Mus musculus: one gene and its partners. The protein of the gene in region 4 interacts with the protein of the main gene of each other region in a biochemical or structural test. Links are inferred from orthologs where the notes say so. Each region holds a gene or a part of one and is shown on either strand. Other genes may lie near its edges. The genes, in order: Nedd9, Cebpb, Jun, Smad3, Mecom, Tgfbr1 and Zfyve9.

The links.
Region 1: the proteins of Smad3 (region 4) and Nedd9 form a complex in vitro, tested with the Homo sapiens proteins (2 studies listed by BioGRID). The link is inferred for Mus musculus from reciprocal best matches to the Homo sapiens genes SMAD3 and NEDD9.
Region 2: the proteins of Smad3 (region 4) and Cebpb form a complex in vitro, tested with the Homo sapiens proteins (2 studies listed by BioGRID and IntAct). The link is inferred for Mus musculus from reciprocal best matches to the Homo sapiens genes SMAD3 and CEBPB.
Region 3: the proteins of Smad3 (region 4) and Jun form a complex in vitro, tested with the Homo sapiens proteins (3 studies listed by BioGRID). The link is inferred for Mus musculus from reciprocal best matches to the Homo sapiens genes SMAD3 and JUN.
Region 5: the proteins of Smad3 (region 4) and Mecom form a complex in vitro, tested with the Homo sapiens proteins (2 studies listed by BioGRID). The link is inferred for Mus musculus from reciprocal best matches to the Homo sapiens genes SMAD3 and MECOM.
Region 6: the proteins of Smad3 (region 4) and Tgfbr1 form a complex in vitro, tested with the Homo sapiens proteins (2 studies listed by BioGRID, with this or other methods). The link is inferred for Mus musculus from reciprocal best matches to the Homo sapiens genes SMAD3 and TGFBR1.
Region 7: the proteins of Smad3 (region 4) and Zfyve9 form a complex in vitro, tested with the Homo sapiens proteins (2 studies listed by BioGRID and IntAct, with this or other methods). The link is inferred for Mus musculus from reciprocal best matches to the Homo sapiens genes SMAD3 and ZFYVE9.

What each region holds. Positions count from the first base shown.
Region 1 is NC_000079.6:41,314,002-41,317,501, reverse strand, and holds part of Nedd9 (enhancer of filamentation 1), read left to right. Parts: intron 1-486; coding exon 487-1,728; intron 1,729-3,046; coding exon 3,047-3,136; intron 3,137-3,500. UniProt on the Homo sapiens protein: Scaffolding protein which plays a central coordinating role for tyrosine-kinase-based signaling related to cell adhesion. As a focal adhesion protein, plays a role in embryonic fibroblast migration.
Region 2 is NC_000068.7:167,687,740-167,690,932, forward strand, and holds Cebpb (CCAAT/enhancer-binding protein beta), read left to right. Parts: upstream 1-1,175; 5' UTR 1,176-1,282; coding exon 1,283-2,173; 3' UTR 2,174-2,693; downstream 2,694-3,193. UniProt on the Homo sapiens protein: Important transcription factor regulating the expression of genes involved in immune and inflammatory responses. Also plays a significant role in adipogenesis, as well as in the gluconeogenic pathway, liver regeneration, and hematopoiesis.
Region 3 is NC_000070.6:95,049,423-95,053,593, reverse strand, and holds the start of Jun (transcription factor AP-1), read left to right. Parts: upstream 1-1,371; 5' UTR 1,372-2,322; coding exon 2,323-3,327; 3' UTR 3,328-4,171. UniProt on the Homo sapiens protein: Transcription factor that recognizes and binds to the AP-1 consensus motif 5'-TGA[GC]TCA-3'.
Region 4 is NC_000075.6:63,649,995-63,653,494, forward strand, and holds part of Smad3 (mothers against decapentaplegic homolog 3), read right to left. Parts: intron 2,632-3,500; coding exon 2,487-2,631; intron 392-2,486; coding exon 268-391; 3' UTR 1-267. UniProt on the Homo sapiens protein: Receptor-regulated SMAD (R-SMAD) that is an intracellular signal transducer and transcriptional modulator activated by TGF-beta (transforming growth factor) and activin type 1 receptor kinases.
Region 5 is NC_000069.6:30,506,960-30,511,059, reverse strand, and holds the start of Mecom (histone-lysine N-methyltransferase MECOM), read left to right. Parts: upstream 1-1,300; 5' UTR 1,301-1,593; coding exon 1,594-1,630; intron 1,631-4,100.
Region 6 is NC_000070.6:47,391,222-47,394,721, forward strand, and holds part of Tgfbr1 (TGF-beta receptor type-1 isoform 1 precursor), read left to right. Parts: intron 1-2,025; coding exon 2,026-2,268; intron 2,269-3,500. UniProt on the Homo sapiens protein: Transmembrane serine/threonine kinase forming with the TGF-beta type II serine/threonine kinase receptor, TGFBR2, the non-promiscuous receptor for the TGF-beta cytokines TGFB1, TGFB2 and TGFB3.
Region 7 is NC_000070.6:108,637,840-108,641,339, forward strand, and holds part of Zfyve9 (zinc finger FYVE domain-containing protein 9), read right to left. Parts: intron 1,582-3,500; coding exon 1,420-1,581; 3' UTR 1-1,419. UniProt on the Homo sapiens protein: Early endosomal protein that functions to recruit SMAD2/SMAD3 to intracellular membranes and to the TGF-beta receptor.

The DNA of each region.
Region 1 (3,500 bases), on a different chromosome or scaffold from region 4:
GCTTGCACTGCAAGTGCAGTTAGCTTTGCTGAACAGATAGGGGACTGTGCCTTTGAATACAAAGAAGACCCAGGCAGCTTCACACACACACACAGGCAGCCTGATGACCAAGAATGGAACACAGGTCCCTCTGCCCAGTGTATCAATGTCTTCTGTCTCTCAGCATAGATCAGTTTGTGTAGGACAGTCAGTGAATGGTTAGAAACATGAGACTGCAACCCAGTGATGAGCAATTTAGCTAGGAGGGAGGGCTCTATACCCAAGCTAGCAACAAGAATGGTTAAGAATGCTCAGGTAATAGGACAAAGGCATACATCCTCTAAGGAGTATGCTGCATGCTGGGAAACATCTGAGGTAGTAAATGATGAGAGGAGAGGAAGAAGATGGAACGAACAGTGCTGTGAACTCTGGACCACGCTATTCACTTTCTGCCTCCATCAAAGTCTCAACTGAACAAATAAAATGGCTTTTTACTTACGTTTTTAGGTCTATGCCATTCCACCATCGGCTTGCCGAGATGAGGCAGGGCTCAGGGAAAAGGAATATGATTTCCCTCCTCCAATGAAGCAAGATGGAAAACCAGACACCAGACCTGAGGGGGTTTATGACATCCCTCCAACCAGCACCAAGACAGCAGGCAAGGACCTTCACATCAAATTCCCCTGTGATGCTCCAGGAGGTGTCGAACCAATGGCACGAAGACACCAGAGCTTTTCCCTGCACCATGCACCCTCTCAGCTGGGACAGTCTGGGGACACTCAGAGTGATGCCTATGATGTCCCCCGGGGAGTTCAGTTTCTGGAGGTACCAACAGAAACCAGTGAAAAGGCAAATCCGGAGGAAAGAGACGGTGTCTACGATGTCCCTCTGCACAACCCAGCAGATGCCAAAGGCTCTCGGGACGTGGTAGATGGGATCAACAGACTGTCTTTCTCCAGCACTGGCAGTACCAGGAGTAACATGTCCACCTCTTCCACCTCCTCAAAGGAGTCTTCACTGTCAGCCTCCCCGTCTCAAGACAAAAGGCTCCGACTGGACCCAGACACAGCCATAGAGAAGCTCTATCGGCTCCAGCAGACCCTGGAGATGGGTGTGTGCAGCCTCATGTCACTGGTCACCACAGACTGGAGGTGCTACGGATACATGGAAAGGCACATCAATGAGATCCGCACCGCGGTGGACAAAGTAGAGCTGTTCTTACGAGAATACCTCCATTTTGCCAAGGGAGCTTTAGCCAATGCCTCCTGCCTCCCAGAACTGGTCCTCCACAACAAAATGAAGCGGGAACTCCAAAGAGTAGAAGATTCCCACCAGATTCTAAGCCAAACCAGCCATGACTTGAATGAATGCAGCTGGTCCCTGAATATTTTAGCTATCAATAAGCCCCAAAATAAGTGTGATGACCTAGACCGGTTTGTGATGGTCGCCAAGACAGTGCCAGACGACGCCAAACAACTGACCACCACCATCAGCACCTACGCGGAGACCCTCTTTAGAGCAGATCCTGCCAATTCCCATCTGAAGAATGGGCCCAACAGCATCATGAACTCAAGCGAGTACACACATCCGGGCTCCCAGATGCAGCCACTGCATCCTGGTGACTACAAAGCCCAGGTCCACAGTAAGCCGTTGCCTCCTAGTCTAAGCAAGGACCAGCCACCAGACTGCGGTAGCAGTGACGGTTCTGAGCGGAGTTGGATGGATGATTATGATTATGTTCACCTACAGGTAAGACCTATAAACCACCCAGACTCGGGGCTGATGCCCGTAAGGCTGTGAGCTGGACCGATAGGAGGCTGATGTCCATAAGGCTGTGAGCTGGACCGATAGCAAAACATGTTAATCTAACTGTTGTGAAAACTGAGGGTGAGGTTGTCCAAAAAAATGTACAGCCACTTTGTCTAACTTCCCTGGACCTTAATTTTATTTTGAGAATTAATTTAGCTCACATGGTTGTATGACATCTCATTGATACACCTCAGGAAAGCTGGAGGAGACTCATCAATGTTGTTGACTGGTGAGTCCATCAGCCATAGAATCACTTCTCCCTCGGCTTGTGTTTTTATGGCACAGGTTCATGGAACAGCTCATCATAACAGAAATAAGTTTAAATATATATCACTGTTAATTTTTTAGAAATTATTGGAAATATATGTACATAGAGAGTTTCTAAGGTACTCTTTCAGCCTACAGTGTGTGCATATGTGTATGTGTGTCTGTGTGTCTGTGTATGTGTGTATGTTTAGCTGCTTACAAAGACACAGAGCTCCATCAGATCCAGAGGACCCTGTGATCCCTTGCCAAGTGGCCAACAGCTTGACCTACTTATGTTAAAATCCACAAACTGCTTCCTATGAGTATAAACTGTGCTAGCTCCCAAATGGACCTGGAACCCTGAAGGCTTCCCTGTCTGCTTTGAAGAATTCCAACACTCTACCATAATCCATGCCTTTGTGTTTGGCTTAGTGCTTTAGGCGGCCATTCTTTTCCATTGGACTGAGAGCCATGAGTTAGGCTGAAAACGATTAAAATACCAGCAGCCCCCAGACGCAAGAGAGTAGAAAGGATCAACTGAACCACATCTCATGCTGAGGATTGGCCGAGGTTAGAGGAAAGCATTTAACATTCCACTGGTCTTCTGATGCTGTAGACTGGAGAATACTAAGGATGGGTAGAGAGATGCAGAATAGTCAAAGGAATCAGAAGTGAACTATGCACCCATTTTTTTTAACCTTTGTTTGGAAGCACATGGTTCACATCCAATCTATTTTAAAAGAGCCATGGAAAAAGAATGCTTGGGAATCTTCAGAAGCTCTTCAACTGGAGCTAGCAGTGACCGTGGTGGCCCACACGGACACAGGCTTTACTCTTCAGCCTATCTCCATGGCAATTCCAGAAGTCGCTAATCTCTGGTTTACAATGTCTAACTGGACATGAGGGAAGTGGCCAGTGGATAATAAAGGTCTGAGTATACTTGTCAGTGAAACTGTCCCCATAAGTGTCTCACAGCAAGGAGGTAATACTGTCTTTGTTTTGAACACACCAGGGCAAGGAGGAGTTTGAGCGACAGCAGAAGGAGCTCTTGGAAAAGGAGAACATCATGAAGCAGAGTAAGGCGCAGCTGGAGCATCACCAGGTAGGTTTGAACACAGCAGACAGCACACCGTTTGGTAGGGAACGGAGAGCTCCCAAAGCCTGGGGTCCTCCCGGCACACTGGCAGGAAGAAGGAAGTCCCAGGCATGTAATAGGACAAGAGAACAAAGTGAAGGTGTGTGGCCTATGACTACAGCTGAGTGTGCCTGGATTGCATCCAAATGGCAGTGTTTGTTCAGACTGTGCCTGCACATCTATCACCCGTTAGGAGTACTTGGTTTAAAGCTTTCAGTCTCAAGACACAAGACCCAAGTCAGGCAAGCCCAAGCTAACTGGTTTTCCATTGAGGCCAAATAAGGGAATTCCAGGGAATGAGATGCAACCAAAACCAAAGAAAGCAAGGACT
Region 2 (3,193 bases), on a different chromosome or scaffold from region 4:
AGAAAGCCGCAGGCAGGCAGGGCTAGCGTCTTACCCTTTCCCTCCCTGCCCCCCACCCCCAAGGGCACAGGGAGATGTCATTTCTCCAGCTCTTGGGGGCGGAGGTCACCCCAGCTCAGCAGATAACACCGAAGGTTGAGCAACACCCCGCCAGCTTGCCGGGGCCAGGGCTGGGGTCAATGGGTCGGGGGTCAGCCCCTGACAGGTTGGCAGCTCCTGCTTGAGTGGCCCACCTAGGAGTGGCAGAAGGGTGGGCCCCAAGAGTTGCCCTGGGCGTCCTCAAAAGGGTCTCACCGGAGAGAGGCTGGTGATCCCAGCCCATTCAAGTGCACGGGGTGGAGGGGTTGCCTCCCCAGCTTGCAGGGTGACCGCTGGGTCCTTATGGCTGGAGTGGGGTCTACCATGCTCCCACCGCAATCACCTGAGAAGCCTCTGGGCAGGGCTGTGCAGGTCTTAGGAAGGCATCGTACTTCTCGGGGGTCCGTTTGTCTCTGATGACACCACTACTAACAATACCAACACTGTCCACGGAGGGAACTCAGAAGCAAAGTGACTCACCCAGACACAGTGTGGCAGAACCCCCAGCCCTGCCACCTTCATGGAGAGGCGCAGGGAGTGGCGTAGGCAGGTGCGGTAGGCGGGCCATACATAGGGTGGAGGGCTGGGATCCAGGACAGCGAGCATCCCCGGGGTGGGCGTGCACCTGGAGAGTTCTGCTTCCCAGGAGTTGGGGGGGGGGTCCCAGAGGTGTGGGCAGCACCTGGGTGGGAGGACATGCACCCCGTGGAAGGCTGCTTCCAGGGAATTGGGGCCCGGGGACAGCGGGCAGGATCCGAGGGTTGGGGTCGTGTAGCTGGAGGAACGATCTGTTTCCCAAGAGTTGGGGGTCCGGGACAGCGGACCGGAGCCGGGACGAGCCACCGCGTCCTCCAGCAGGGGGCGGGCGGCGGCCGCGCTCCTCCGTGTTCCCGAGGGGCGGGAAGGGGGCGGGCTGGCGTCACCCGCGTCCGTGGCCATCGCGGGGCTGGCGGGACGCCCGGGTCACCGCTCAGCCTCCCGCGCGAGGACCCCCGCCGCGCCCCACTCCCCGCCGCGCCCTCTCGCGCTCCCGTGGCCGGGCAATGACGCGCACCGACCGGGTGGCGGGGCGGCGGGAGGGGCCCCAGCGTGACGCAGCCCGTTGCCAGGCGCCGCCTTATAAACCTCCCGCTCGGCCGCCGCCGCGCCGAGTCCGAGCCGCGCACGGGACCGGGACGCAGCGGAGCCCGCGGGCCCCGCGTTCATGCACCGCCTGCTGGCCTGGGACGCAGCATGCCTCCCGCCGCCGCCCGCCGCCTTTAGACCCATGGAAGTGGCCAACTTCTACTACGAGCCCGACTGCCTGGCCTACGGGGCCAAGGCGGCCCGCGCCGCGCCGCGCGCCCCCGCCGCCGAGCCGGCCATTGGCGAGCACGAGCGCGCCATCGACTTCAGCCCCTACCTGGAGCCGCTCGCGCCCGCCGCGGACTTCGCCGCGCCCGCGCCCGCGCACCACGACTTCCTCTCCGACCTCTTCGCCGACGACTACGGCGCCAAGCCGAGCAAGAAGCCGGCCGACTACGGTTACGTGAGCCTCGGCCGCGCGGGCGCCAAGGCCGCGCCGCCCGCCTGCTTCCCGCCGCCGCCTCCCGCCGCGCTCAAGGCGGAGCCGGGCTTCGAACCCGCGGACTGCAAGCGCGCGGACGACGCGCCCGCCATGGCGGCCGGTTTCCCGTTCGCCCTGCGCGCCTACCTGGGCTACCAGGCGACGCCGAGCGGCAGCAGCGGCAGCCTGTCCACGTCGTCGTCGTCCAGCCCGCCCGGCACGCCGAGCCCCGCCGACGCCAAGGCCGCGCCCGCCGCCTGCTTCGCGGGGCCGCCGGCCGCGCCCGCCAAGGCCAAGGCCAAGAAGACGGTGGACAAGCTGAGCGACGAGTACAAGATGCGGCGCGAGCGCAACAACATCGCGGTGCGCAAGAGCCGCGACAAGGCCAAGATGCGCAACCTGGAGACGCAGCACAAGGTGCTGGAGCTGACGGCGGAGAACGAGCGGCTGCAGAAGAAGGTGGAGCAGCTGTCGCGAGAGCTCAGCACCCTGCGGAACTTGTTCAAGCAGCTGCCCGAGCCGCTGCTGGCCTCGGCGGGCCACTGCTAGCGCGGCGCGGGTGGCGTGGGGGGCGCCGCGGCCACCCTGGGCACCGTGCGCCCTGCCCCGCGCGCTCCGGCCCCGCGCGCGCGCCCGGACCACCGTGCGTGCCCTGCGCGCACCTGCACCTGCACCGAGGGGACACCGCGGGCACACCGCGGGCACCGCGCGCACGCACCTGCACAGCGCACCGGGTTTCGGGACTTGATGCAATCCGGATCAAACGTGGCTGAGCGCGTGTGGACACGGGACTGACGCAACACACGTGTAACTGTCAGCCGGGCCCTGAGTAATCACTTAAAGATGTTCCTGCGGGGTTGTTGATGTTTTTGGTTTTGTTTTTGTTTTTTGTTTTGTTTTGTTTTTTTTTTTGGTCTTATTATTTTTTTTGTATTATATAAAAAAGTTCTATTTCTATGAGAAAAGAGGCGTATGTATATTTTGAGAACCTTTTCCGTTTCGAGCATTAAAGTGAAGACATTTTAATAAACTTTTTTGGAGAATGTTTAAAAGCCTTTTGGGGGCAGTAGTTGGCTTTTGAAAAAAAATTTTTTTTCTTCCCTCCCGACTTTGGATTTATGCGAGATTTTGTTTTTGTGTTTCTGGTGTGTAGGGGGCTGCGGGTTATTTTTGGGTTGTGTGTGGCGGTGGGTGGGGGTGTCGCATCTGGGCTTTTCTCTTCCCATGGCAGATGGGGTGTCAGCCCCTCCCCCCAGGAGAGGGGGCAGAGTGCCAGGTCAGGAATTCAGGGTGACTCAGCACCCACGGGTGCTGGGGGACTTGCTAGAAACCCTGCTTGGGACGGGCCGCCCTCGGCTTGGTTTGAGTGTCAGACTTGTGTTGAGAGGACTAGACATTCTGTAGGAAAGGCTAGTCCAGACAGCTGGGTCAGGGCAGGTGAGTTCTGTGTGTTTGGTGGTGTGGGGGAGACCGCACGCCTGTTTGGTGTCTGTGTCCCTGTGTAGCTGGAAGAGAGATTGGGCCGAGAGGAAGGTGAAGGGAACACTTCCTACTCTGCTTTCCCTTTCT
Region 3 (4,171 bases), on a different chromosome or scaffold from region 4:
CTCAGAGTCAAAACTAATGCCTGGCAGCCCGGTGTAGTGGACCTCATTCGCTCTACTTCTAGATGAGACCAATAAAGCTCAGAGAAGTTCTGAGATTTGCCCTTATGCCCTGGGAGAACCAAGCTTGCCACCTCTTTAGTCCTGAGGGGTGGAGGGTGGAGGGCTGATAGCAGAACCTTAGAAAAGAAATAACTTACATGTGTCTAGCGCTTCCTAGAGGCCGCACAGGATATGACTCCACCAGTGAGCGGGGAGGGGAGTTTTCAGCCTGTTTCTACCAGGGACTCCTGCTTAAGCACCGTGACTTGGGGCGAGTCCGCAGCTCTCAAGGCTTGTTTTCCCAGAAGCAAATCAGGGAGGGAGGAAGGGCGGGCGCAGACTGAGTGTGCGCGGGACCGTGTGTATGTGCTAGCGCAGGCGATCGCCGAGGTTTCCTGAGTTTCGAACCTTTATATGTTGCTTTCGACACCCCATGGGCGCTGGGCTAGCATCTTTCACACCTAGAGGAGGGGTCCCTCGGAGGCAAAGCGAACACCCCTCCCCCGGCACGTCCAGAGAATAAAGTGTTGTGCCGGGGACCCTGATGAGTCGGTTCCGAACACCGCAAATCTCTGGTTTCCAGGTACAGCACACTGCGGCGCAGATCCTTCTCCGAAACTAAACTTCCAAGCATACTCATCTTGGAGGGCTACTCTCAAACCCGCTCAACTTCAACGCACTTACGTGCTCCCACACCCAGGGCGCACACAACCCTTTTAACCCGCATCGCTCTGTCCCCCGGAAGTGCGGGGGTGCGGAGCCAGCTTCAGTCACTCAGATCATTCAGCCCTTTCTCGGGCGTGCGTGCGTGTGTGTGTGTGTGTGTGTGCCCGCGCGCGGGCGCGCGCCTGTGTGCAACCTTCACTCCCACCCAAGCTCTCCGCCCCCGGCCACTAGCGCGCCTCCCCTGCTTTCTGGATCCCCGCGTCTCGGTCCCAGTCCCCAGCCCTGAACTTGAGCCCGCCTCCGACAGACTCCGCAAGGGTCCTGCCGACCGGCAGCCTCCGTCACTAGACAGCCAAACCAAGACGTCAGCCCACAATGCACCGGGCGGGCCGGGAAAGACGCGCCGGGGAGGGAACCCGGGAACACAAGCCGAAGCTGAGCGCGGGAGGGGGGGGGGGGAGGAGGAGAAAGAAGGGCCCAACTGTAGGAGCGCAGCGGAGCATTACCTCATCCCGTGAGCCTTCGCGGGCCCAGAGAAGAATCTTCTAGGGTGAGGTCTCCATGGCGACGGGTGGGCCCGCCCCCCTGAGAACGACGCAAGCCAATGGGAAAGCCTCGGGGTGACATCATGGGCTATTTTTAGGGATTGACTGGTAGCAGATAAGTGTTGAGCTCAGGCTGGATAAGGACTCAGAGTTGCACTGAGTGTGGCAGAGACAGCCTGGCAGGAGAGCGCTCAGGCAGACAGACAGACAGACGGACGGACTTGGCCAACCCGGTCGGCCGCGGACTCCGGACTGTTCATCCGTTTGTCTTCATTTTCTCACCAACTGCTTGGATCCAGCGCCCGCGGCTCCTGCACCGGTATTTTGGGGAGCATTTGGAGAGTCCCTTCTCCCGCCTTCCACGGAGAAGAAGCTCACAAGTCCGGGCGCTGCTGACAGCATCGAGAGCGGCTCCCGACCGCGCGAGGAAATAGGCGAGCGGCTACCGGCCAGCAACTTTCCTGACCCAGAGGACCGGTAACAAGTGGCCGGGAGCGAACTTTTGCAAATCTCTTCTGCGCCTTAAGGCTGCCACCGAGACTGTAAAGAAAAGGGAGAAGAGGAACCTATACTCATACCAGTTCGCACAGGCGGCTGAAGTTGGGCGAGCGCTAGCCGCGGCTGCCTAGCGTCCCCCTCCCCCTCACAGCGGAGGAGGGGACAGTTGTCGGAGGCCGGGCGGCAGAGCCCGATCGCGGGCTTCCACCGAGAATTCCGTGACGACTGGTCAGCACCGCCGGAGAGCCGCTGTTGCTGGGACTGGTCTGCGGGCTCCAAGGAACCGCTGCTCCCCGAGAGCGCTCCGTGAGTGACCGCGACTTTTCAAAGCTCGGCATCGCGCGGGAGCCTACCAACGTGAGTGCTAGCGGAGTCTTAACCCTGCGCTCCCTGGAGCGAACTGGGGAGGAGGGCTCAGGGGGAAGCACTGCCGTCTGGAGCGCACGCTCCTAAACAAACTTTGTTACAGAAGCGGGGACGCGCGGGTATCCCCCCGCTTCCCGGCGCGCTGTTGCGGCCCCGAAACTTCTGCGCACAGCCCAGGCTAACCCCGCGTGAAGTGACGGACCGTTCTATGACTGCAAAGATGGAAACGACCTTCTACGACGATGCCCTCAACGCCTCGTTCCTCCAGTCCGAGAGCGGTGCCTACGGCTACAGTAACCCTAAGATCCTAAAACAGAGCATGACCTTGAACCTGGCCGACCCGGTGGGCAGTCTGAAGCCGCACCTCCGCGCCAAGAACTCGGACCTTCTCACGTCGCCCGACGTCGGGCTGCTCAAGCTGGCGTCGCCGGAGCTGGAGCGCCTGATCATCCAGTCCAGCAATGGGCACATCACCACTACACCGACCCCCACCCAGTTCTTGTGCCCCAAGAACGTGACCGACGAGCAGGAGGGCTTCGCCGAGGGCTTCGTGCGCGCCCTGGCTGAACTGCATAGCCAGAACACGCTTCCCAGTGTCACCTCCGCGGCACAGCCGGTCAGCGGGGCGGGCATGGTGGCTCCCGCGGTGGCCTCAGTAGCAGGCGCTGGCGGCGGTGGTGGCTACAGCGCCAGCCTGCACAGTGAGCCTCCGGTCTACGCCAACCTCAGCAACTTCAACCCGGGTGCGCTGAGCAGCGGCGGTGGGGCGCCCTCCTATGGCGCGGCCGGGCTGGCCTTTCCCTCGCAGCCGCAGCAGCAGCAGCAGCCGCCTCAGCCGCCGCACCACTTGCCCCAACAGATCCCGGTGCAGCACCCGCGGCTGCAAGCCCTGAAGGAAGAGCCGCAGACCGTGCCGGAGATGCCGGGAGAGACGCCGCCCCTGTCCCCTATCGACATGGAGTCTCAGGAGCGGATCAAGGCAGAGAGGAAGCGCATGAGGAACCGCATTGCCGCCTCCAAGTGCCGGAAAAGGAAGCTGGAGCGGATCGCTCGGCTAGAGGAAAAAGTGAAAACCTTGAAAGCGCAAAACTCCGAGCTGGCATCCACGGCCAACATGCTCAGGGAACAGGTGGCACAGCTTAAGCAGAAAGTCATGAACCACGTTAACAGTGGGTGCCAACTCATGCTAACGCAGCAGTTGCAAACGTTTTGAGAACAGACTGTCAGGGCTGAGGGGCAATGGAAGAAAAAAAATAACAGAGACAAACTTGAGAACTTGACTGGTTGCGACAGAGAAAAAAAAAGTGTCCGAGTACTGAAGCCAAGGGTACACAAGATGGACTGGGTTGCGACCTGACGGCGCCCCCAGTGTGCTGGAGTGGGAAGGACGTGGCGCGCCTGGCTTTGGCGTGGAGCCAGAGAGCAGCGGCCTATTGGCCGGCAGACTTTGCGGACGGGCTGTGCCCGCGCGCGACCAGAACGATGGACTTTTCGTTAACATTGACCAAGAACTGCATGGACCTAACATTCGATCTCATTCAGTATTAAAGGGGGGTGGGAGGGGTTACAAACTGCAATAGAGACTGTAGATTGCTTCTGTAGTGCTCCTTAACACAAAGCAGGGAGGGCTGGGAAGGGGGGGGAGGCTTGTAAGTGCCAGGCTAGACTGCAGATGAACTCCCCTGGCCTGCCTCTCTCAACTGTGTATGTACATATATATTTTTTTTTAATTTGATGAAAGCTGATTACTGTCAATAAACAGCTTCCTGCCTTTGTAAGTTATTCCATGTTTGTTTGTTTGGGTGTCCTGCCCAGTGTTTGTAAATAAGAGATTTGAAGCATTCTGAGTTTACCATTTGTAATAAAGTATATAATTTTTTTATGTTTTGTTTCTGAAAATTTCCAGAAAGGATATTTAAGAAAATACAATAAACTATTGAAAAGTAGCCCCCAACCTCTTTGCTGCATTATCCATAGATAATGATAGCTAGATGAAGTGACAGCTGAGTGCCCAATATACTAGGGTGAAAGCTGTGTCCCCTGTCTGATTGTAGGAA
Region 4 (3,500 bases):
GTCAGGTGGCGATACACCACCTGTTAGTTCAAGCCACCAGAACAGAAGCCATCACTTGGCCTTCAGACAGGGGCACGTGTATGTAGCAGACACAGCTGTTCATAAATCCATCCCTGGGGTTTTCTTCTGTGGTCTCAGAAACAGGCTGGTGCCTTAGTTGAGTGGAATCGGTGTTCTTTGACAAGACCAAGTTGGATGGAGTTCTCTTCCAAGGTCATTTTCCCCAAGCCCGCCCTCCCCAACCCGCTCCCTTTACTCCTAGTGTCTCTAAGACACACTGGAACAGCGGATGCTCGGGGAACCCATCTGGGTGAGGACCTTGTCAAGCCACTGCAAGGGTCCATTCAGGTGTAGCTCAATCCAGCAGGGGGTGCTGGTCACTGTCTGTCTCCTGGAAGAAGAGGGAAGAGGTGAGAGATTAAAATGTTGAGGACACACACAAGTTGAGTTACCACACTGCTTTCTGCTACCCCGAGACAGAGATCTCTCTTTGTGCTAGATAGGTAAATAGTGCCTAGAGGTGGTACTAGCAAATGTGGCTGAACCAGACCAGTCCTCCTGGGAGGGCTTTGTGTAAGTCGGGTTCTGCTGGAGGGAGAGGACCTCAAAGATTTAAAGAAGGTCGGTTTCCAGGAACCGGGAGAAGCCCCCATGTAGAACCTCCTGCCTGAGTTAAGGTCTCCCTGGTTCCTAGCTTAGCCACTGGGTAGGTGCCTGCAGCCCCCTTCCAGATTTGGGCCAGCCCCGCAGCTGTCATGACATGCCTGTCTGATGGAGGGCGTTTTACAAAGCACTGACAGGGCCACATGCTTCAAGTCCCAGGGTGCTGCTATAATCCCATCTACGGCTTATTTTGGAAAATATTACCAGCAGAGCTAGCCGGGGAACAATTACTGGAAAAACCAAGGCACACCACACATTTCTTTTCCCTCAAAGCACTTTGTCTAAATTCAGACTGCTTGGTGACGCAGCTCACAGGCAAGCTCCCAGAAGCCTCCACCGAGCAAAGGCTATCTGCTGTGGCGACATACGGGTGCCAGCTGGAGGTGAGGCCTAGGCTGCAGGCCCGCTTACAGCTGCTTTAAAGAACCAGCCTGAAACCTTACTCTGTTTGGCCCACAATGCAGGAGGGCATGGCTGTTCTGGGAAGGGGCCGCACCCGCCACTAGGCTGCCTGCCGTGCTATGCTGCCAGGCGGCAGTGACGCAGTAAGCCGGGTAGGACGGGGTGTGCTGGCAGGGTTTCCTCCGTGGTGATACAGTGCCCTAGAGAGGGGCTTCTGCCAATCTTTGAAGATGGGCGGCCCTGGTGCTGTACCACTTTTGGGGCCATCATCCCGAGGCTAACCCTCCCTCAAGCCTCAAGTGCTTTGCTTGAACAGTTCGGGAGGTTCACAGCCTGGGCCCCCTGCCTGAAGGCAAGCAGGCCTCCCAGTTCTTTTCCTTCGGGGTTTGTGCGTTAAAGAATTAATTTTCTAACCTTTCACTCTGATTCCCTAAATGATCTAAATCCTGGGCTAAAAGGTTGGCTCAGGCATCTGCCCAGCCAGACCTTTGGGCCGGGTCACCACAGCATGGCTGGGAGTTATTCTGCAGTCTGAGCTGTTGGTGACCCTCCCTGGATCTCAGATTCAAAGGCCCAGGGTACTTTGCTCACTGGCACCATGGGGCATCCGTGAAAGAGCAACAGCTCTGAAACCTAGACAGCGAGGTTAGATTTTACAGACCTCCGTCCTCTGCTGAGAATCTGACTTTCCATAAGTCATGCTCATCGGGGTTTCATTACAAACGGTGGCCCGGAGCCAATATTGAAATGGGTTTGGCTGGGGTGCAGAATGACTGCAAAACAAAACCGATTCCAAACATCTGGAAAAATGAAGAGAAGGGGCGAGGAACTTGCAAGGCGCTGGCTGCAGCTGACGTGTGGGTACCTCTGTGCGGCTCCACTCTGGGGGCCAGGGAGGAGGCATGGAGCAGAAGGGCATGTGGCCCTGCCTCCCAGACCTCTCCTGTCCAGCATGGGAAAAGGAGACTGCCTTCTCATTAAACTGAGTCTAGACAGCCTGAGGGGCCTCAACCAAGCAGACCAGGTAGACCTTGCTATTACTGGTGCCATGTTTAAAGTGCTAACTGGCATTCTTTAAATGAAAATATATACATGAATTAGCTGTTCTCTATAAAACACTCAAATCTCCTTCCTTGTCAGGGAAGACAGTCATCCTGAGAATCCATCCCAAGGAAATTGAGGACACAGCAGCCCAGGAGAGGCCAAGTCTGGACCTGTCTTTTCCACCTGACTCTCCATAAGCTTTTAGCCTCCATATCTCTACAAGAATAATGCCAGCGTCCCCACAGTGGGCCTAGAAATGCTGATGGTGCTTGAGAGCTGCTGAGCACTAGACTAAGGCTGTGACGCTATCCTTGGCTGTCATGCCTTGCCTAGAGCTGGCTCCCTCTACCACCACTAAAGGCAGCTTAGGCACTGACCTGTACTCTGCTCCCCAGCCTTTGACGAAGCTCATACGGATGGTGCACATGCGCGTCAGCTGGTAGACAGCCTCAAAGCCCTGGTTGACAGACTGAGCTAGGAGGGCAGCAAATTCCTGGTTGTTGAAGATCTTCAGGTTGCAGCCTGCCAACCATAGACAAGTCAGATAAGCCAATCCCAGGACCACCCGAACAGTTGGATTCACACACCTCAAGTGGCATACTACGGTCCCACCCAGTGGCTATCTGCTCTGAGCTCATCACCATGCAAGGATAGGCCTTCTCTATTACTACACTTGATCTGCACACCCTTAGCAGGGAGATGCATGTGCAAGGGATGCTACAGGCCGGCCTATAGGAGCCACCTCCAGATGCTGGGATGCCAAGAAGGAAGCTTGGAAGTGGGCTCAGGTGATACAGGTATGGCCTGGAGAGGCTGAGGCAGAACCCTAGGCTTCAGAGAGGCAGGGCACCTGAGCTTGGTTTCCAATACCTTGTGTGGTAGCCACCTGGGGACAGGTGCTCCTGCATTGCTACAGTAGCAGGGCATATGGCAATGAGGTGGGCATGGGACCTGCTAACATAGGGATGCTCTGCAGAGGGTCAGAGCACCTTCCACCAGATAGCCCTGTCTCATGCTCGGGCTGGGGAAGATAGCTGGGTCACATGGTAGCCTCCGGATACAGGCTTGGTCTGAGGTGACATTAACAACAAAGTGTATCTAAATTCTCCATAGTATAGCTAGAGACAGGCACTAATAACACTGAAAATAAACCTGTTTGAAGTCTTGCTATCCAAGTGCCAGGATTGCATGACCCAGAAGATAAAGGCCAGAGTCCGTGTCCAGTAGCCGGTGGACTAGCAGAGACCCCATTTGCTGTGTGACTCTGTTCTGCTTCTCTTGACTCACCATCTCCTTTGGGGGTGGGGGAAGCTAGGCTTGGTTATCAGAGCCCTAACAGTCTCTGAGCTAACAGGACACTACCAGGGCCAGTTTAGCCGTCACCAGCTGTG
Region 5 (4,100 bases), on a different chromosome or scaffold from region 4:
CCTGGAATTACACAGCTCTGGGGAGGGAAAGGTGGTGGGTATTCTTAGATGAGGTAGGTCCTGTAAGCTTGGCCACCGAAGCCCCTGGGAATTGAACCTAGATATTCGCTCTCTCACAACCGCAGTCTGAGCTCAAACTAAATGAATACCAACAGGTGCAACTGAGTTCCCAACAACCCTGCTCGTCCTTGCTCTCTCAGAGGAGAGACCAGGACTTTCCTGCTTCTTCCGACTTGAGTTTTAGGATGGTAGCAGCACCGCACGGAAAAGATGGCAATTTTCTTTTATGGTGTCTGGCAGGATTTGCAGCAGATATTAATGGAGACATAAATAGCACGTGGAAGGTATTGAACACAACTGTTTAATGCAAGAAGGTTGTACTAAGAAAAATCCATACTGAGTTGGGAGTGATTCATACCTTGAACACACCTAACCCCTTGCGCCTTCATTTCTGCCTGCACACTTCATTAGTAAATTCTGTAATTAGGCACATTTCAACAATGTACGTTTTGTATTTTCTAGGTATGCGTATGGAATTTCCCCCCTTCCTCCTTCTGGTGACCCCAGAGGTTGTAGGTTTCAGTGAGTGAGTGGAAATGGCAGGCGGGCTGGGTAGCAGCAGGAGGCCGGAAGGTGCCGGCCGACCTTAGGCAAGGCAGGAGGTCTTGGATGTCAAATGTTCAGCCCGGCGGGACCTGGGCATCAAGGGCGATTGTTGCTACTTGATGGAAACAGACTACTGAAATGTTCCTAGGATGGCAGCTACCGTTGGTATTACAGCTAAAATCGAGAACCGGTTATTCATCCAAAGCGGAAGCCCCAGGAACTTCAGAAGGAGAGAGCGGCAGCAAGGGCAGAGCTCTGAAGTTCAAGATGCTTCTCGCCTTCTGATAACACGTTCACGGTCCAGTCCTCAGCCTAGTTCTTGTGTAGACGGAAAGATTTATCCTAAAGTTTTTTTTCCCTCCTCCGCTCGGTTCCCCTACAGACAATGTAATTTATGGTGGAGAAAACATTAATAATAATTATAATGCAGGCTTATTGACTCCCACACAGACATAGTCCTCTGCCCCACGAATCAATTCTCTGTCCAAGACTTTTCATTTCTTTTCTTTTTCTTTCTTTCTTTTTATTTTTTTTCCCGTTTGGGCGAAGTGTCTGCTCCCCTCCAGCTCCCCGCGCTCGCTCCCCGCCCCCTGCCGCCCTCCCCGTAGCTCCCTTTCTCCGCCTCCTCGGCGATTGCCATCTGACAAGATCTCCAAATCAAAGTGATAAATCGCTCCAAACTTTTTTTGGCGGCGCTGAGATGTTGGAGGGGCGTCTAACGCGCATGTGCGAAGGTGTCCAAACTGACAATGCTAGAGATAGCGAGTGTGGATTGAGAGAAAGAGAGAGAGGGAGGGAGAGAGAGTGAAAGACCGAGTGTGTGCGTGTGTGTGCGTGTGTGAGACAGAGGAGAGAGAGAGAGAGAGAGAGAGAGAGAGAGAGAGAGAGAGAGAGAGAAGGGAGGGGGAGAGAGAGAGCAAAAGAAGGAAAAGATCCAAGAAAAAAAAAACCTAACCACCCAGCAGCGGCTGCAGGACTGGGCACAGCATGAGATCCAAAGGCAGGGCAAGGAAACTGGCCACAAGTAGGTGCAATATCCCTTTTCTATTGGCTTCCCCCCCTTCTCTGCCATCTTGCGTATCTGTGTCTAGCGCACGGGGAGAGAGCGCGGGCTGCTTTGGCGCGGGGGGCCTGGGGTGGAAGGCAGGCACAGCGCAGCCGGCAGCCGGAGCAACCTGCCGATTCCTGCCTCCGCGCCCTGGCTCCTGCTCTGGGCGCAGTGGAAGCGCGGTAGCCCTGAGCCCCGCACCAGGACCAGCTGTGGCAACTCCGGGGTGGGGGTGGGGGCAGCAAAAAGCTGGGAGGGAGGGAGGAGGGCGCGCGCGAGTGAGCGCGAAGGGGTGGGGGGAGAGGAGAGTGTGTCCCCCTCCCCTCCCTTCCCCCCCCAGGCGGGGGAGAGTCGCCTCTGGCCAACCAGCTAGTTCCCGGAGCGGGAGGAGGGGGGAAGCGGGTGGGGGGGGGGCGGGCAGGGGAAGGGCGCCTTTCTGAAGCTCTGTTTGTTTCTGGGGTTTGGGACGGGTGGCGGGCTCCGAGGGAGCCGCGGTGGCTGTGGCCGCAGCCGGCCGCGATGGAGTTGGGAAAAGTTGCGAGGCGGCCGCTTGCAAGTTGCGCGGGCGATCGGCGCTGCGCCTAGCCGCGGCTGCGGTAGTGGGCGCTGTGCGCTCGGTCCTTGTACGCGGCGGCGTGTGCGACGCGGCGGGAGCCCTGGGGAAGGGGAGGCAGGGGGGCCGGGGGGGACACGGTCCTGGGGATGGGTGGGGGGAACCCCGGCAGCGCCGAGCTCTCGGCTCCGCAGAGTCACTCGGCAGGTGGGGAGAGCGGAGGCCGCGCCGGCGTTCTCAGGCCCGGGCGTGGAGGGCGCGCGGCCAGCCGAGAACGCTGCTCCGTAAGGCCAGGAGGGCGCGCTCCGACCCGAGAAGCCCGGGCTGGCAGGGCGCCGAGTGACCCCCAGGGGGCGGGCTGCCGGAACTCGGGGCCACCAAGGGGGAGCAGCTCAGCCTGCCGTTCTCTTTCTGGGTGCAGCCGGGGTCCCGGGTCACTCGTCCTCCCCGGCGCCCTCTGTCTGCCCGGAGCGGAGCAGCCTCGGTCACGCGGGACTAGGGTAGTGGGGTTTGGGGCTATGGGGGACTAGACTACCATCCCCCACGCTTTCAGGGAAGGCTTGGGTGACACTCCAGGACAGGGTAGGGTGGGAAGGGTTGCTTAGCAGGGACTAGTAGGAGTCTGAGGTGGGTTTGTTCAAATGCTTCTGCCCAGCGTTGAAGGGGGCCCAACGAGCAGCCTGCCGCCTTCTTACTCCCTCGGACATCAGAGCTGCTTCGGGAAAGGACCGGCCAGGCCGCCCATGCCTCTCACACTTGGACTTGAGGAATCTCGAACTCTCTTAATTGTTTTGTTTCGGACCAGAGAGACTAAAGATAGGATGTGGATAGTATGTTTGCCCCAGTGAAGTCCCCAAGCGTACCCCCCCATCCCTTGCACATTGGAATTTAGGGCTGGAGGCGCTCCATGCAGCACCACCGGGCGCGTCCTGGCACAGCGGCGCCGGCTACAGTCGTAGCCCCCCGGCATTCCCGGTGTGGGGAATGCAACGTAACGCCCGGCGAGACGCTGTCCTCCCGGGCGTCTTTCCAGTGCTCCAGCCACTCCGCACTCGTGTCCTGCACTCACATACGCTCTAGCGGCATCTTTTCTCTTGGAACTCGGGTCGCAGAGATCAACCTAAATACTGGGCCGTCAGTCGGCCTCCTCGGTCAGTCAGCCGGCTTCTTTCTCTGCTCCTACGGCTCATTTCACTTCGTTGCAACAGTGTAAAGTGCGCCAGCGAAACTGTTTTTCCTGTTGGCTTTTCACTGAGTCTTTATTTTCTTCTGAGAGGGAATAAATGTACACATGCTTGATGGCTTTGAGACTTCAAAGGTTAGGGGTGTGTGTGTGTGTGTGTGTGTGTGTGTGTGTGTGTGTATTTGAGAGGAGGCGGGGAGATCGTTTCAACCGAGCAGTAAGTTGTGAAATGAAAGCCTAAGGCTTTCACCCTGCTTGGTTGCCCAGCATCCGACGAAGCGAAAGCTGAACGCAAAACCTTTCGAATTTTCTTAAGGCTCGCCCCCGCCCCCGCGCGCCTTAGCTATTTTAATTGCTAAGCAAGCTGTACACCCTGTAGCCCACTACTGAGTCCAGAAGCTGAGCCTCCTTTCTGATCTGATGAGACTTGTCAGTCACCGCATGTGAGACACATTGATTTTTGTCTCGTGTGGGGTAAGGATGCCCATGTGCTCTCTAGAGAGCAGGACCCCAGCCTTAGGAACTTTTCCTGCTGAGCCCCAGGTTCCCACTAGCGGGGCTTTTACTGCTTCTGCGGCTGCCTTCCAGAGACACGGGCGCCGCGTAGTGCAGTTTTCCAGCTACCGTCTGAGCAATAAAGGAAATCATATCAGAACTACGGATTTTTGTATTTTAAAGCGCTATTTCCTTTTGCCGAACTGCGCGTGGCA
Region 6 (3,500 bases), on a different chromosome or scaffold from region 4:
AAGAGGAATACTCCTCCATTGCTAGTAGGATTGCAAGCTGGTACAACTACGCTGGAAATCATTTTGGTGGTTCCTCGGAAAATTGGACATAGTACTTCCAGAAGATCCAACAATACCACTCCTGGGCATGTACGCAGAAGATGCTCCATCTTGTAATAAGGACACATGCTCCACTATGTTCATAGCAGCCTTATTTATAATAGCAAGAAGCTGGAAAGAACCCAGATGCCCCTCAGCAGAGGAATGGATACAGAAAATGTGGTACATTTACACAATGGAATACTTAGTACTCAGCTATTAAAAACAATTCATGAAATTCTTAGTCAGATGGATGTGTCTGGAGGATATCATCCTAAGTGAGGTAACCCAATCACAAAAGAACACACATGATATGCACTCACTGATAAGTGGATATTAGCCCAGAAGCTCAGAATACCCAATATACAATTTGCAAAACACATGAAACTCAAAAAGAAGGAAGACCAAAGTGTGGATACTTCAATCCTTCGGGGGAACAAAATTCCCATGGAAGGAGTTACAGAGACAAAGTTCAGAGCAGAGACTGAAGGAATGACCATCTAGAAACTGCCCCACCTGGGGATCCATCCCATAAACAACCACCAAACCCAGATACTATTGCAGATGCCAGCAAGAGCTTGCTGACAGGAACCTGTTATAGCATCTCTTGAGAGGCTCTGCCAGTGCCTGACTAATACAGAAGTGGATGCTCACAGTCATCTGTTGGACGGAGCACAGGGTCCCCAATGAAGGAGCTAGAGAAAGTTCCCAAGGAGCTGAAGAGGTTTTCAGCCCCATAGGAGGAACAACAATATGAATTAACCAGTACTCCTAGATCTCCCTGGGACTAAACCACCAATCAAAGAAAATACATGGTGGGACTCATGGCTTTAGCTGCATATGTAGCAGAGAACGGCCTAGTCAGTCATCAGTGGGAGGAGAGGCCCTTGGTCCTGTGAAGGTTCTATGCCCCAGTATAGGGGAATGCCAGGGCCAGGAAGTGGGAGTGGGTGGGTTGGGAAGCAGGGGGAGGAGGGAGAGGATAGGGGATTTTCAGAGAGGAAAGTAGGAAAGGGGATAACATTTGAAATGTACGTAAAGTACCTAATAAAAAAATACAGTTGGCAAAATAGTCTAGAAAGGATGTGCATACACAATGTATTAATATCCAGTGCTGGAATGCAGAGGTTGAAGAATCCCAAATTTGAGACCAGCCTGGATGAACTATGGTGATAAAACCCCGTCTCACAAAAAATTGAGGGAAAGAGTTAAAAATTTATAAATAAGCAAATAGAATAAAAAACAAAAGTAAACAAAGGAAGTCTTAGGCTTTAAAAAGTTGGTGGAAGGGCTGGTGTGATGGCTCAGTGGGTAAGAGTACCCGACTGCTCTTCCAAAGGTCCAGTGTTCAAGTCCCAGCAACCACATGGTGGCTCACAACCATCCGTAACGAGATCTGACGCCCTCTTCTGGTGTGTCTGAAGACAGCTACAGTGTACTTACATATAATGAATAAATAAATCTTAAAAAAAATAGTTGGTGGAAAAGTATATAATAAAATATGAGTCTGAAGCTTTGCAAGGAAGTTGATAATTTGTAAAAACTTTATTAACTATATTTATATATATTTCTTCTGCTATAATCCTGCAGTAAACTTGGAATAAGAAGAAAAGACCAAAGTGCTTTATAAAAAAATGAGTTATTAGAAGTTGTTTCAAATAATTGTTTACTTTTCTTGTTTACCTGAGGTGACAAGTGGGGAAGGAGGTCTAGAAGGGGCTTAGCTAATGAACCCAATGGTGAACTATAAGATAGGCTGGGGATACTCAGGAAGAGTGAGAGGGTACTGACAGCTGATGGTCTGACAAAGGAGACCAGGGAGGGAAGCCCTGTGTGACTAAATGATAGTAGTGGACACGGGGGTGGGGGTGGAGGGATATGGAGGGTTTGGGAACTGTGAGTGCCACCTACAGTGTTTTGTTTCTCTTGATGTTTATTTCATTGGAGGACCTTTTTCAGAAAAGCAGTCAGCTGGCCTTGGTCCTGTGGAGCTGGCAGCTGTCATTGCTGGTCCAGTCTGCTTCGTCTGCATTGCACTTATGCTGATGGTCTATATCTGCCATAACCGCACTGTCATTCACCACCGTGTGCCAAATGAAGAGGATCCATCACTAGATCGCCCTTTCATTTCAGAGGGCACCACCTTAAAAGATTTAATTTATGATATGACAACATCAGGGTCTGGATCAGGTAATGTTATTGTTTACCTTTTTCTTAAGTCTTAACTCATTTTTCCTATTTTATTTAATTAGTTGGTTGGGGCATTTGGCTTAATTTGTTAAAACTTTGGAATAGTATGAGTACTATACAGGATTGCAGCCTATTGAAAACTGTTGAGCTTGCTGTCTGACTGGATAGTTTAATATAGATAAATTGGAACTTGGTTTTACCATTGAAACAAGTCACAGATGTATAGGCTTCCACACATCCTCCCCTATATAACTTGAGCCTGGGAGGTAGAAAGTTGGACACCATTCTTACAAAGATAGAGCTGCAGCTAAAAGATGCATCTGCCATTCTGCAGCTCTGAGACTGTTCTGGAATTTGGAAGCTGATTAGCCTCTTTAACATGATACAAAATTGTTGTTTTAATAAAAAGTGTGTGTGTGTGTGTGTGTGTGTGTGTGTGTGTGTGTGTTTGCACACACATGCCTGCCAACCACAGTATCCATGTGGAAGTCAGAGGACAACTTGAAGGAGTCAGTTCTCTCTCTCCTCTGTATGGATCCTGGGAAACAAACTCGTGTTAGCAGGCTTGGTGGCAGATGATCAGACCAGTCTCGTTTATTGTTTAAAATTAAACTATTGCATCTTTAGTAACTTTTTACATTTAAAAGAAAATTTCAAACAAAGAAACAAAAATAGTAGTCCTGTGAATGAATGTTTGTTTTTCTTGGCTTTGTTTGTTGATTTTTGTGGACTCAGAAGTAGACTGGCTGATTGTCAGGATCATGCTGAAATAGATTTTAGCATAATAGTATTTTGCTTTTAGACCAAAGAGAAAATACCTTTTTTTCCCTTGTCTGTGGTTTGGAAGAAGACTAAGAGAAGTGTGCCTCCTTTACAGTTTTGGACTTTAGGGCTGGAGAGATGGCACAGTGCTTAAGAGCACTGCTGTTCTTCCAGAGGTCCTGAGTTCAAATCAAAATACTCACATGTTGGCTCTCACTGTCTTTAACTAATCTCTGGAACCAATGCCCTCTTCTGATGTGTAGATAATGCATATAGACAAAATACCTATATGTATAAAATACATAAGTAAATTATAAGAAAAACAATTTTGGAATTTGATGTGTGGCTAGCAATCAATAGGTTTAGACTCTAACACATGCTCTATGACTTTGGTCAGTTCATATTTCCTCTTTGTTTTTGTTTGTTTGTCTTTAAGCTTATAACTTGCATTTTTATTTGATATTTTCTTT
Region 7 (3,500 bases), on a different chromosome or scaffold from region 4:
GTTTTGAGTCTATTAAATCCAGCTCATAAAGAAAGGGCCATGCTGAAACTAGAAAGTCATTTTACAGCTGTCATAGTGAAAGAGCAGTGCAGGCAAGAAAACATCAGTGGTGCTAAACCGAAGGGGAATTTTGAGGAGCAAGATCTTTGCATAGATTGAAAAGTTCTGCATATATTAGTTATTACTAAAAGGGTAAATACATAGTTGGGAAACTGGACATGGTGTACTGGTGATAATGAGCTTTGCCACTGTCTCTGAAAGGCAGATGGATATCAAGTGTTTCTGGCCAATAATCCAAACTCAAATGAGGTATTTTCTACTAAAACCAAACAAAAATCCAGGATGTGAGGGCCCAAAAAAAAAAAAAAAAATTCCATGCCACAAAGAGATAAAGACAAGCTTAAAGCTATGTGCAGCGTCTGATACTAAACTGGAAAGTTCTCTGTTGAAGAAAGGTTCCCAAAGGTTCTGGGCAGGTATGAGGTTAGAGCCTCCAGACACTGTGACTTGACTTAAGGATGAGGGGCTGTACTGTATGCACCTTAATCTGAAATACCTCAGTTTAATAGAGGAGGGGAAGACAAGCACTGACGAACCAAAGGGGCAAAGTGCTAGTGTGTGAGCGTGTGCGTCCGTGTGTGTGTGTGTATGCGTCCCTGTGAGCGTGTGTCCGTGGGGCTGTAGAAAAGACGCCTTGTTTTTTTTTTTCATGTACAACTTTCCTGGAGTTTAAGAGATTTCTTAGTAAAATGTTCTTTAAAAATACTTCTAGTGTGTAGTAAATAACAATGCCCTGGGTGCCCATTGCCAGCTGTCACTCAGCTTCTCTATCCAAATGCCCTGGTTTATACTGAGTTACCTTCCCTGGCTAACAGACCAGAAACCCCTTTGGTTTGATTCAGTTAGTAATCTGAACAAATAAACACGAATCTAAACATGACAAACAGCTGGGGGTGCAACCAGGATGATCAGCATAGCGGTCTTTTTATGCCAGTTCTGTACAGGAAGTACAAAAGTGACGATTCATTGTTTATTTCCTTTCTGCCCCCCATTGTGACCTTGGTGATGGTTGTGCCCATATGAGCATTCATCTGAGCACATGACCGGAAGTAATCATAAGAGAGGAGCAGAAGTCTTGTCTAGACAGTAACAGAAGGGAGTTAGCTGCAAAGATAGCATATCTGTTGTGCAGTAAGAAGCTGCCCGGGTCTTCTTGGAGAATGCATAGAAGACTTAGAATCATGGAACATCTGTCCCCTACCACCCTCCCCACCCCATCTCCCCTAAGTCCTATTCCCACCCCAAACCCTCCCTACTGACAGTGTTAACAAAAAGCTTAATCTTCCAGTTTTAAAGTGCAAATGATTTGGATATGACTGCTGCTGCAACAGGTCTGAACAGAAACAATGGAGTCCTCATCTATGCGATGTTTTCCAGAATATAAAAGATGAGTTCCATGACGACAGGGCCTTCACTGAGCTGGCAGGCTCCTCCATGAATGACAGGCACCAAGGCACTGTCCAGATCGTTCATGTACTGCGAGGGAAGGGGCTGGCCATTGCTCCCTGCTTGATAGCCAACCTACCACAGAGAGAAAGGGATGACAGGTTACCGGGCAGGGATCTCTGCAGAGGGCTGAACCAAAGAGGCCAAGCAGGGAATACCACACCCTTTGCCATGAGCCCAACACAATGATAGTGCACACAAATTCTTTTCTTTTTACTAGTTTATCATCTTCTATCTACCCTGGCTACTTGATAGCTGTAAGACCTTTGGCTAGTCCCTTAGTGTGCTAATGTGTGTTTCCTGGGAAGAGAAATGGTGAGTCAGATGATAATCCAGGCTCTGGTTGTAAAGTTAAAGTGAGGCATATAACAAACAGCATCAACTCCAGCCTGTGCAGTCATCAGAGCACTGTATTTTGAGCAACTGAAAACAGAAATTCAAATATAAAAGGCCCTTTCCCTCAAGAGGGTCACAAATTTAGCAGAAAAATGCTTGCTATCCAACTGTCCCACGGGAGGGGCCTCTCTCCAGATGCTATCAGTACTGTGAGGTGGAGCAGGATACCTCAGTACTGTTTGTTACACAGGTAGACTTTTGATTTTCCTAACCTGCATTTGATGTATGTGTATGGGTGCGTGCATGTACCATGGTACATGTGCCACGACATGCATGTCGAGATCAGAGGACAATCTTAGGAGTCAGGGTTATGGGGACAACTTGCCAAGCTTGACAGCAGAATGGATGCCTTTACCCACTGAGCCATTTTGCCAGCCTGGTTTTTGTTATTGTTTTATTATTGCTGTCTTACGACAGGGTCTCATCTCAAACTTGATATGTGGTAGCCAAGGATGATCTTAAGGTGGTTTTTTTGTTTTTGTTTTTGAGACAGGGTTTCTCTGTATAGCCCTGGCTGTCCTGGAGCTCACTTTGTAGACCAGGCTGGCCTCGAACTCAGAAATCTGCCTGCCTCTGCCTCCCAAGTGTGTGCCTGGCTGATCTTAAATTTTTTGTTCCTTCAGTCTCCACCTCTGAAATACTAAGTTACCAGTGTGCCCCACTGTGCTCAGTTTCTGTGGTACTGAGGATCAGTTCCAGGGCTTCATGCCTGCTAGGCAGGCACTCTAACCTGAGCTACATCCTCAGCCCCAGATAAGCCCCTTGCAGCTTAGGACAAGACCCTAAGTGAAAGTAAATACTAGCTGATGATGGCCAGTGAGGAAATAAAGCCAGACACAGAACCTTTTACCCTGCCCTGGTCAGGTATTTAGTTAAATTCTGCAATAAAAGGCCAGATTCCCCCCATGTACGTACTCAGGAGAGAAGCGTCTCTGTGGCAGAATTAATTACTGACTCAGAGCCCACACTCACTTCTTCTTGAAAAAATAAACTTATTTTATTATTATTTTTTTTAATGTGTGTATGACTGTTTTGTCTGCATGTATGGATGTGCAACATGTATGTGCCTGGTGCCTAAGGAGGTCAGATCCTCTAGAACGGGAGTTAAGGATGGCTGTACACCACCATGTGGGTGCTGGGAACTGAACCAAGGTGCTCTGCAGAGCAACACGTGCTCTATAGGTGAGCCATCTCTCCAGCCCCTCCCACACGCATTTCTAATGACTTGGCACTAGCAACATGTAAGCATCCAATGCAGGACTAAAGACACAGGAGCGAGATTCTAGGAAGAGGAACTGGGGTGTAGGAGGTGAAGACTGAATTATTAATATAAAGAGCACATAAAAACATCAAGCCAGGGGTTGGAGAGATGGCTCAGTGGTTAAGAGGACTGACTGCTCTTCTGGAGGTCCTGAGTTCAAATCCCAGCAACCACATGGTGGCTCACAACCATCTGTCATGATATTGGATACCCTCTTCTTTTTTTTTTTTTAAAGATTTATTTATTTATTATATGTAAGTACACTGTAGCTGTCTTCAGACACTCCAGAAGAGGGAGTCAGATATCGTTAGGGATGGTTGTGAGCCACCATGTGGTT